2 linked regions of the Drosophila melanogaster genome follow. The protein of the gene in region 1 purifies or fractionates together with the protein of each later gene. This does not show direct contact. Each region holds a gene or a part of one and is shown in the gene's direction. Other genes may lie near its edges.

Region 1 (7,680 bases):
GTAGCACAACACTACATCGCATCGATCGTATTGCGGCAGGATGTGCTTGAAGGTCACGGGACGGTGGATCATGGTGATCGCATCCCGTATTTCCACTAGAATACGATCGGTATTATTCAGCTTGAAGCGTCCGTCCCGATCGGGGATGTACTGCGTGTAATTGCGGCCCATCTGCTGTCGTTGCTTCTCGGTAACCAGTGCTCCCTGGTATTCCGGCCCCAGGAGGCGTGCGAACCCATCCAAATGGAAGTACTCACGCCCGGGCAATCCGCTTGGGTACGCATGCTTCAGGAAACGCGGCTCCAGTGCCACGCCCAAAAGCTCAAGATCGTAAACACCACGCATTGTGAGAAACTGAAGGCAGTTGGAGAAACAACGAGGATGGCGCAGTATCTCCTCTATACGCTGGCGCAGCAAATCGGGCAATCTCTCCGCCAACCGGCGTTCCACTCCCGACTTAGTTGTAATATTGAAAAGGGCCATTACCAGACAAATTCGCTCCATATCCTTGAGGCGGGCAGTCTCTAACTCACGCTCGAATCTCAGCAGTATGCGCTCCACCAGTGCATCATTGCACGTTTGCAGTTCACAGCCCAGAAGAGCCATGTGCAGGCACGTGAGGAGGGAAACGCGATCCACTTGCGACTCTAGAGCGCTTAACATCTTCTTTAGCGGCTCCACTTGTGGCAGCTTGCTGCTGTACCGCAGCACCTTGAGCAGCGCTACCAGGACAATGTCTTCCACGGTGTCCAGCTCGCTGCCTAATCGCTGATAGAGTTGCGTTAGCAGCTCCGGATTTCTGATAGGCGTCTGTGTCTTAAAGAAGCCCATGGCCATTACGCCCAATTCGGACAGCGTCATTTGATCCACGCAGCGGGCCAGATTCAACTCGAAATCGAACATCTCGAAGACGGGTCGGCGCAGTAGATTGCACAGGAACATGGAGTGAACGAGCTGTTCTGGCGGCAGCTTTCGCAGCTTGCGGCCGAGCTTTTTCAGCGCCAGCCACACGTACTCGCCTATCCTGACCAGACCAAGACGATACCAGGCATCGCTCACGAGTAGCAATTGTTCACTGGACCATCGCTCGATGCGGCGACAGCACTCGATGTCCAGGGTATTCCATATCTCCATGTAGTTCTTGGCTTTGGGCGATTCCGGTACGGGCAGCTCGGCCAAGGCACTAAGCGATCCAAGAAGTTGTTCATCCGTAAGGCGATGCAGCTGCTCACAGAAGCAGCGGGTAAAGGCTTCGTAGCGGCTATCGCTGATCTTCAGTTCCATGCGATTACAGTGCCTCACCAGGCCTAAAAAGTCCGCATAGAGATCGGCAGCACTGGCATCTGGCTGTGGCCGCATAAAGCCTTCAGATGCGGGCAAATCCTGCCAGGCGGAGTCCCGAGGACGCAGTATTGCATACGGTTTGAGAGAATCCATCAGGATTCCATGGGCGAACTGATTCTCTCGGTCCGCAAATATTCGCGCTGGTGAAACGATCGTCGTGCATACTTGGCGGCGCAGACGTCCCACACTTCGCCAGAGGTAGTTTGTTCTTGCCCACATGTTTTAGAGCGATATTTGGTTGTAAATTAATTCAATTCAATTGAATTTGAATGGAAAACGCGTTATGAAAACATTCGTTGAAAAACCTGCCGGCTAAACAGCTGACTGGTAAGCAGCGTTGCCAGAACGAAGAAATTGGAGTGCTCGCAAGTGGGAGAACTTAACGAAATATTCTGCTCTCAGCGCTTGGCTGCTATCGATAACTCCACTGATATCCAAATGGGTAGCTACTAGAATGTAGCTTTACAAATTGTAACGTGTTTTTTCAACTTATTTTTGTTTAACTTAACACAAACAAAAATATTTAGCTATACAATTCTATTTCACACTCAAATATTAATCGAATGTTTCGATAACGGTATCCGTGGTCGATAACGCTCTTTAACCATTTTGCGTTTGCAACCGCCGACTATCTGGCGTCGCAAGAAACCTTATTTACGTAGATATATTTACGTAGATACGCTTGCACTTAATAATCCTGTAGTTGCAAGTTGTTCCCAAACTATTTCCGAGTGATTTTATGCTACAAAAGAGTGAAGAGTGAAGCAGTGGTTCCATCGGATTGCCCACCGGTTTCTCCGTTCCGAGAATTCTCGACGGCTTGTGTGGGGGAAAGGCGCGCGTAGGTCAAGATTGGAGCTATCAGGTGTCTAGGACATGGAGGAGGAGCCTGTTGCCATTGAAAATGATTGCCAGATAATTGTTTGTAAGTCCGACAGTTGGTCACCTGGTCAGCCGTTCAACTAACTTCCGTTTTTTTTTTTCCTCAAAGCTGACACAATTGGTCAGAAGACGAATGGCGTGGATGACGATAAGGCCCCAAATCCGTTCAGCAGATGCACTTATCCGGGATCTCGGGATGGCGGCATTCTGCAAACCTATAGGGCAGAGAGGCTGCTCATCGCTTTGGTACGCCGCCAGCCGCTATTGTATGACGCCCGGCATCCGAAATTCCGCGACGTCGCTCAAAGGGAGAAACAATGGAAAAAAATCGCCAGCCGCCTGGCAACGAATGCGACCAACTGCAAGAGATCCTGGTCGGCGCTGCGATATAAATATCAGCGCCATGTTCGTCGTCTAAGAAACTTTCATCGCAGTGCCATCCAAAAAGATCGGGCGGCCCTGCGTTGGCGTCCTTGCATGGAATACGAGGAAGAGATGCGCTTCATGTATACCCATGTGGCCAGATTCCCACTGATTGTCGACAAGATTCCGACAGAGATTCTTGAAAAAGAGCATGTGGATGAGAGCGAAACCCGGCCCGATGTGGAGGTCATAGAGAATCCGCCAATGGACATCATAGATTTGGATGTCGAGGAGGACCCCACCTATAACTACCGTTGCAACAGGTTACAGCGTCGCCTCATAGAGGCAGTCAGTGCCTATCCCCTTCTGTACGATAGCACGTGCACGGGCTATCAGAACACACGACATCGCTTTCTAATCTGGAGTGCCATTTCAAACGAAGTCCATGACAAAGCCACCAAGCTGATGAAGTGCTGGCTAAAGCTGCAGACTCGCTACGAATGGGAGTTAATCCATCGCCCACGTCATATCGGCACTTCGGAGCTGTGTCGGTTGATGGACTTCATGGAACCGCACGTACAGCGCATGCGCGGCACCGTATGCAAGTCTTCCAAGTACCTGCAAAACGGTTGGCACGAGCCCATTGAGAATTTCCACACTGTGATGGCGCTGATCACCACGATGCGCAACATGCCAGAACTAGTTCAGCTGACGGAGGACTCCCTGCACAACAAGGTGAAACCGCCGCGCTACGACGAATTCTGGCAGAAGGTCGGCATGGAAGTGATGTGTAGTCACGAGCACTGCGAGGTCACCTGGCTGGTGCTGCGCGCCTTTTACCACGAATTGCAGGCCGTGCGCTCATCCGGCTATCAGCTGCAGGACAAGTGGTTCTTTGAGGGCTCCATGGGTCTGGCCTTAACGCCAGTTACCTCTCGTTCCACGGCCCGTCCCGCACTAAAGCGGACAGCCAACGGCGCCATACCAGTGGCGGGGGAGCCTCCGGCCAAAACACCGGTGCCGGTACGTATGCCATTGGCTATTGTCTATCCGTCCACCTCAAAAGGCAGCAGCACGAGCATGACCAACAGTGCAAGCACTGCCACAAGCATTGGCCCCACCTTCACCAATGTTAGGAGGTCCTCTGGCCCAGTCATTAACAACACATCCACCGCCGCCGCCGCAACGAACAGCGTCAGTTCGAGTGTATCGCCCGATCAAGCTCTTCCCAAGTTTGTGATTCCCAAAATCACGTCCGCCATCAGTGTGGGCTCGGGATATATGATACCCCTAAAGTTTGTGCCCAACGTACGAATTTTGCCCAAGCCGGCGGCGACTATGGGAACGGGCGTGTCCCCCATCGCCACCACCAATCAGATGGCGGGCCCAAACGCAAAGCCGCCTGAAGTGCGTCCACAGATAACGCAGGGTCCTGGCTTACAGGTTAAGCTCCATACGAAGCCTCAAATGGCCAGTAGACCGCAAATGGCACCTGTAGTCCCCCGCACTGTAATTCGAACAACGAATCCAACCAATCCAGCTCAAACTCAAGACAGGGTATCCGGAGGGCCAATGTCGACACTGGGTGAACTGCTTAGGCCACAAAATCCATCGCAAATACGTTCACCAGCTCCGCAACAAACACTGCCAAATTTTGTACCAATAACAACATCGAATATTACAGCTAAAAGCAATCTGCCAACACCCACTGCGGCTCCAATGGTACGAATACACCAGCCGGGACTGAAAAGCGCTTGGGATGGCAAAAGCAATAGCGCTCCGTTCAGTAAGCCAATAAGATCACTATTAACCACATCTTCGCCTGCAGCTGCTCCTATTGTAGCAACTGCGGAACCAGCGAGAGCAAAAATAATACCACCAAAGCCCAAATTGCCAGCAACAACATTAGTAAACCCCAAAAAATATCAACCAATCGTACCGGTAGCAGTACTACCTACAGCAGCAACCAGGATGGCCAAACCTGCAACAGAACCAGCAACTGAGCTGCCTGTAACTACGCCACCAATCGCCACTGGACAAACAACTCGAGTCATACGAAAAACACCATTATTTCCTACATCTGCAACACAAGCTGCATCTGACTCATATGCCACAATACAGGGCACATTAGCAAGCCAGGCTAAAGCTGTGGGAGCAGCAATATCAGCACCAGTGGTCAGACCAGCCAAATTGCCGACAGTAGCCAAGGCAACAACAGCATCGCAGTCAGATATAAAAGCAACTGCAGCCGCATCCGCAACCCTAGGCAGTCAGCCGGAGAACTTGCCGCTTGGCAACATAACCGTGTGTCTGCACGAGAGTGATACCACTGGGAATGAACTGCAAGTTTGGTGCGGAAATCAGGGTACTCGCTTCAATCTCAATATGATTAGGACGACGACGTTGATCCGCGAGGTGATGGCTGTGCCGCAGCTGCACAAGGAAGATCCACAGTTGGCGGCCAAGTGTGTTGAGTTCTGGCATTTTATCGCCAAGAAGTTTCACATGCCAGGTAGGAGTAACTATATATATATTAGAAACATTGGCTCATACGTTCTTTTGTTCTGCAGAGGAAGCTTTGCGCGCATGCTGGAAATTCTTGGCGGCCAACATGAGTGTGTTTCCAAAAATTGCGCCGATGTCGGAACTGATGCGTCCGTTTAAGTACAGCGAAAAAGTGTGGGAAAAATCGAATCGCTTGTTTGGCAAATTTGACGAGATAGCGCTAAAATACCAGTGGTTGAATCACAAGAACGTGTTGCCGGAAGTAATACGCTTCTTCGCGAAGTACGAGTACCTCTACTGCGATTTACGCAGGCCGCGACCTGGCGAAGATGCTCAAGCTCCGCCCCAGTTGACGAATCAGGAGAAGCAGGAGGTGTGGCGGGAGGCCCGCCTTAAATTCCCAAATCGTATGTTTAATAAATGTTATAAGCCAATCATTTATTAGTAATTTTCTGTTCTTTTGCAGTCAATCATCGGGATATTTGGTCAATGTTTAAGTTCGCCTTCCGCACATACCTGGATGATTTAGAGCGCGGCATCGATAATCCCTGGCCGCAGAATTGGTGGCAGGCACTGGAGCAACTCAGGTTTCTGGTCAATGTGCGCTACCATCCGCTCGAGCCCTACTACTATATAGTGCACAACAGGATGTCAGAGGAGGTGAAGCGCTGCAAAATGCACGAGGCTCTAACGTCCTCCGATCATATCGATAAGACCAAATTTACACCGAGCAAACTTTTAACGGGCTTTTCCAAAGAACCCAAGCCATGGGAGACGGAGGAGGCCAAGCGCTTGCTTACCGGCAAGTTGAATAGCGTGAGAAGCACTGAAACTCTCACTCAAATTGCTCCAGCTCCGGCTCTAGCTTTGGCACCCGATGCCCAACCTATTCCTGTACCTGATGGCGTTTCCGTGTCCAAAAAGACAAGCGAAAGCAAGCCAGCGTCAAACGCCAACGTCAAGTCTCATAAAGACAAGAATATCTCCACCGCCCAAAAGCGGCCGACCCCAGCGAGAAGTGTCACCTGTAACAATCTATCCCCCATTGAGGCGTTTGAGTTGTGTAAGAAATTGCGTAGCCAACCAAACAGCTTCGAGCGGGCGAGCACTCTGGACAAGCGAGCCGCCTGGGTTCGCGTATCAAAGGAGTTGCATGCCACAGGTAATCATTTGCAAATATGTCAATTTAGACATTTGATTAAAAGTACATATTTTGCAGTGACCGAATGCCGCCTTGGTCTGCAGTACGCTCTGCGCGAGATGCGCAATCTGAAGATCGCCGATCCAAGCAATCAATGTACAATGGGCCACAAGTACTTGCACCACATGTCGGAAATCTATAAGCAGGTGAAGCCGAACGCCCAGCTGACAGTCCGCACGCCACAGCAGCTCAACCAGTTAAACGAATCGCTTGCGAAGAACACTCAGGAAGTTAGCCCGCAGGAGTTCCTGCCTGAGATCAATTTGTCCACTTGCAGTCCGGATCTCGTGGTGAAGAATTGGGCCTACGCCGTCGGTAACTTGTCCACGGCCAGTCAGGATACACTGCTCGGCAAGATGACGCAGCTGTTCTCTAAATACGCCAAGGTCAATCCGCCACCGCCTTAGCTCTCGAAACTTTTGGCACACGTAGTTTAGTCATACATATTCTCTGTAAGAACTTTCGCCGTACCATTGACACCCTTCATTGCCACAGAATACATCTTATTTATTATTAAGTGCATGAAATTGCAATAACTTTTTTTTTTTTTTTAAGAGCCCTCTAGAATAACTTGAATAAATGGCCACAGTCAACTTTCATATGATGTTTTGCACTGGGACTGTTAAATTTAAGATTTTAAGAGTTCCTGAGTACCATAGGTATAATACCAAACTGAAACTTGCGCAATAATAAACAGTATCTAATGTTGTTAGACGCTTAAAGTCGCAGAATGATAGCGATGAGGGCAAGGCCCCATGATTATATGTCGGTCAGCCGGCCCCGCCCACTTGTATGGCCTCTCCGAGGACATGAAAGTAAGCCCGAATAAATTGGGCGTGCAATTGGGAAAAGATTTGATTGCCAAGTTCCTGGAGGAGTGGCTAGATAATAAGGCGCACGTAAAACACAGGGGATGATTGTCTAGGACAAAGGAATGGCCAAACTATTTGACGATATACTATTTAAAGGATTTTAGTAATCCTCCCACATTTCTTTCGAAATGACGAACAGTAAACAACGGTTACTTTTTGGCTCTACCACCTTCTTCGCCAAGTTATAAGGAAAATATCAGATTTTCCTTTTTGCAGTTTTTTGTTAAAAAAAAATCACAATTTCTTCGAAAGCAATTAAAATAATTGTCCAAATGTGGAATGTCACACCTCATTGAATTCGTAAAAAATTCCCTATCGACCTGGATTCAAAGTTGGAAATTCTAATTTTTTGCCATTTTTCGCAAATTTTGATGATGGGTACCCCTTATCAAAAATGCGAAAATTTGTTACAAAATTTTTTTTTTGGAATCATAAAAATAGTGATAGGGATGGTTAGCTATACCTAATGGCAGTACAAAACAGTCTTTATTTTAGCTGTGCCACCTTTTTTGG
Region 2 (3,129 bases), on another chromosome or scaffold:
GATGGAGATTTTGTTTAAAGCTCTTATTTTTCACATGCCCATGCGAAAAACCTACCTTCTTAGAAGTGGATATGTTGCACAAATAGTTTCCAACAGCTCTTGGCAAGCTTATTTACACTCATGATCAATATATATTTATCTCCACCAAAACACGACTATTTCACAAGACTAGAACAGATTGGTAGGATCTTTTATCATCGCTGACAGAAGGACACATCATAAATGTGAGGAATTTATAATGGGTTTTTGTTGCCCAGTCACGCGATGATCTCCGCTTGATGGCTTAGAAACCGACCATCAGGCAGAGCCAAGATCTATAAAAAAATTCCCAAGAAATACGTATAAGTATGTATGCATGAGCCAAACCCCTGCGGATTCCTTGGATCGCACTCTAATGATTTCCTGCTTAGGATACTGGGGCTCACCCATAAACCCAAATATGCTGCCGCTTCCCAAGAGCTGTCCCCCTGCCGTCCAATGATTAATGCGCCGATCCTTGTCCGATGCCGATGAGGCGAGAATGGGAATTATGTATTTGGGTTAATGTTACACCGCAGAGCAGCACGGCTGGCATTGCTTTAATTTTGTTTTAACACAAAAATTGCCAAGTACCAGTATTTATTTGATGTGCGCAATGCTGCGATCGGAGCTGTGACTTCGCCTTGGACGGCAATTTCCTTCCGTCGTGGTGGAGCCGCGCATCTTGATCGCCGGGTTCTCAGGCTGTGGCCAGAAAACTGGAATCCCAGAGAACCGATACCATTGCCGACGACGATGCCAGTGCTGCTGGCCATTTCAAAATCTAACTGTTAACTGCAAAAGTTGAACGTACTAGCAGCATGCAACATTCAACGGCTGCACCCACGGCATCAGCAGCATTAACGGCAGTACACTTGAAAAAATATGTTTTGAGAAGGAAAATTATTTCCTATGAAAAACTAATAATATATATGTTCTTAAATATAAAAGCTTTTGGAAAATGTAGAAAAAGTTTATGTTGTTTCTAAATACTTTTGGAATTAATTATTTTTCTGGAATACATACACACCGAGCCAAATATTCTTACACAAAAATCGATTAAATTGAAGAACTCATACATCACTTTCCTCAGTGTATGCAACTGCATCTGAGCGGGCAGCGAAACGAGTTGAAAGCCGTTTTCCCTGTTTGCCAGCCAGCTCTTGAAAGTGGTTTGTTGTCTAACTGCGTTAGTTGCTGCTTTAAATTGTGCGCCCAAGCAGCTCCAGCGGCGTTTAATGGCTCCAACTGGCGACCGGAGACCTCGGCTTTAACTGGCCACCCCGCCACCGACTTCTGTTTCTGTTTCTGATTCCGAATCGGATTCTTTTTGTTGCTGCAGCGGGTTCTCAGGCGGCGTTGGCTAAATGTCATAGCGGCGGATGCACCGAGCAGATTAATCATTAATCACATGCCCATCTGAGAGTACGAGACTTCCAATATGCGGAAATTACTGGCAGCTAGCTGTAGTATCCATATGCCCCATTCCCACCATCCCCATCACCTGGTGGCCGATCATTTCCGCCGACGAGTTGGGTTCCTTTATTTTGCCTTTATTTTGACACTGGGCCAGCAACGGCAATTACTGGCGGCGGTGCCACCGAAAACCCTCCTCCCTTCCGCCCTGATTTATGAGTTTTTAATGAGCGGCCACTTTACACGAATTCAAGTTAACAAGTGGAGCCGCGTAAGAGGCCAATATCGCAAGTAGTATCGCCGGCAATCGCGCCTTGACATTCGAGTCGTGCGAAATGTCAGATGAAGATGCACCAATGATACGCTCAATGGGCGTTGGAATGCACAATACCCTAACTAAATCTGAAAGAATATGTCCAGTCAAGGGGAGTGTACAATTTTATTTCCATTTTCTCTAACGCTTTTCAAATTAATCATTTAGGGCTGCCACATCGAAAGGGTTGCCAAAGCATGTCGATACCTACAGTTATCGAAACTGAAAAATAATATCTCGGTGTGTAAACACTTGACAAAACGTGACAATTGGCTACGCGCGTCGAAAAAAGAAAAATAGATTACATTGAAATAAATCCCACGATATCTAAAACCAAACGGAAGATGCCCAGCTCCACTTTGACGTCCTCTACTGCTCTTCCGGTGAAGCAACGAAATGGATTTGATCTTGGACTCGAACCGTTGCGGATCTTAGGAGCCTGCAACTGGTCCGGTAAGCTGACCTTTTTGATGCAGTGGAAGGGTTGCGACGAAGCCGGCCTGGTGCCCGCCGAAGTGCTCAACGTTCGGTGCCCCCAAATGGTCATCTCGTTCTACGAGGAGCGTATTGTGTTCACGGATGAGGGCGATGAAGAAGACTTGGAGTCGGACAATGGGTATGAGACCACTCCGAGTCCCAGGAAGAAACGATCACGAAATGCCTAGTCCATAAAACTATTGTGCACCGAAGACATTGCGGTGCAATGTCAATAAAGAGTATTGACTCTTCTGCCACGAGTTTTTCTTCATTTTCTGGTCGCCGTTGTCGCTGGTGATTGATTATGCATTTTCATGCGAACTGGTTGCTGATGCTGCACTTTGTTGGCATGCGGGCAGGTGAATAAGTGAGTTTAGCTCGGCCCAGCCACGCCCTCCGCCTCCTAGACGCAGCTTGATGTTGGAGACAGGCCGGCGGCATTATCTGCCGGGCGCGAAATTATACGTGTATGTATACACCGAGCGAAAAGTCTGTAGGGGTATTTGAAAGTTCATAAAAAAAACAGTTCATAAATGGTGCACTTGCCTCATTAAACTTTTTCCAGTGCACTTAATGCTGTCAGTGACCTTCACATCGGGGCGTTGGAAAACCTGCAATTAGAAAAGAAGGTTAAGCCGCAGGATCAGACTCAGCTCTCAGATTCCATGTTGCAGGCGCCTCAAGATTCACGCAGTCAACTAATACGTACATAAAAAAAAGGGTTAAATTGGTGGCGCACCTTTCTTGCAGCGACATTTTGACATTGAAAAAGTATAATTAATTGAGGGGCCCACCAGCAGGTGGGCGTGGCCAGGGGCAGATTAAATCGATTTATGCAAGATTTATGGCAAAAGCGCACAAGAAAGAGAAGAAGCGAAATAAAATGGGGCGCCGCCTGGCATTTC

What was found.
Region 2: the proteins of Hmr (region 1) and HP6 purify together in Drosophila melanogaster (affinity purification with western blotting; one study listed by BioGRID). This does not show direct contact.

Annotation. Positions count from the first base shown.
Region 1 is NC_004354.4:10,590,133-10,597,812, reverse strand, and holds Hmr (hybrid male rescue), read left to right. Parts: upstream 1-1,957; 5' UTR 1,958-2,220; coding exon 2,221-2,269; intron 2,270-2,335; coding exon 2,336-5,101; intron 5,102-5,159; coding exon 5,160-5,501; intron 5,502-5,560; coding exon 5,561-6,256; intron 6,257-6,313; coding exon 6,314-6,702; 3' UTR 6,703-6,893; downstream 6,894-7,680. Other genes in the region: CG2124 (uncharacterized protein), read right to left, coding at 1-1,563.
Region 2 is NT_033779.5:4,577,066-4,580,194, reverse strand, and holds HP6 (heterochromatin protein 6), read left to right. Parts: upstream 1-1,976; 5' UTR 1,977-2,091; coding exon 2,092-2,412; 3' UTR 2,413-2,476; downstream 2,477-3,129.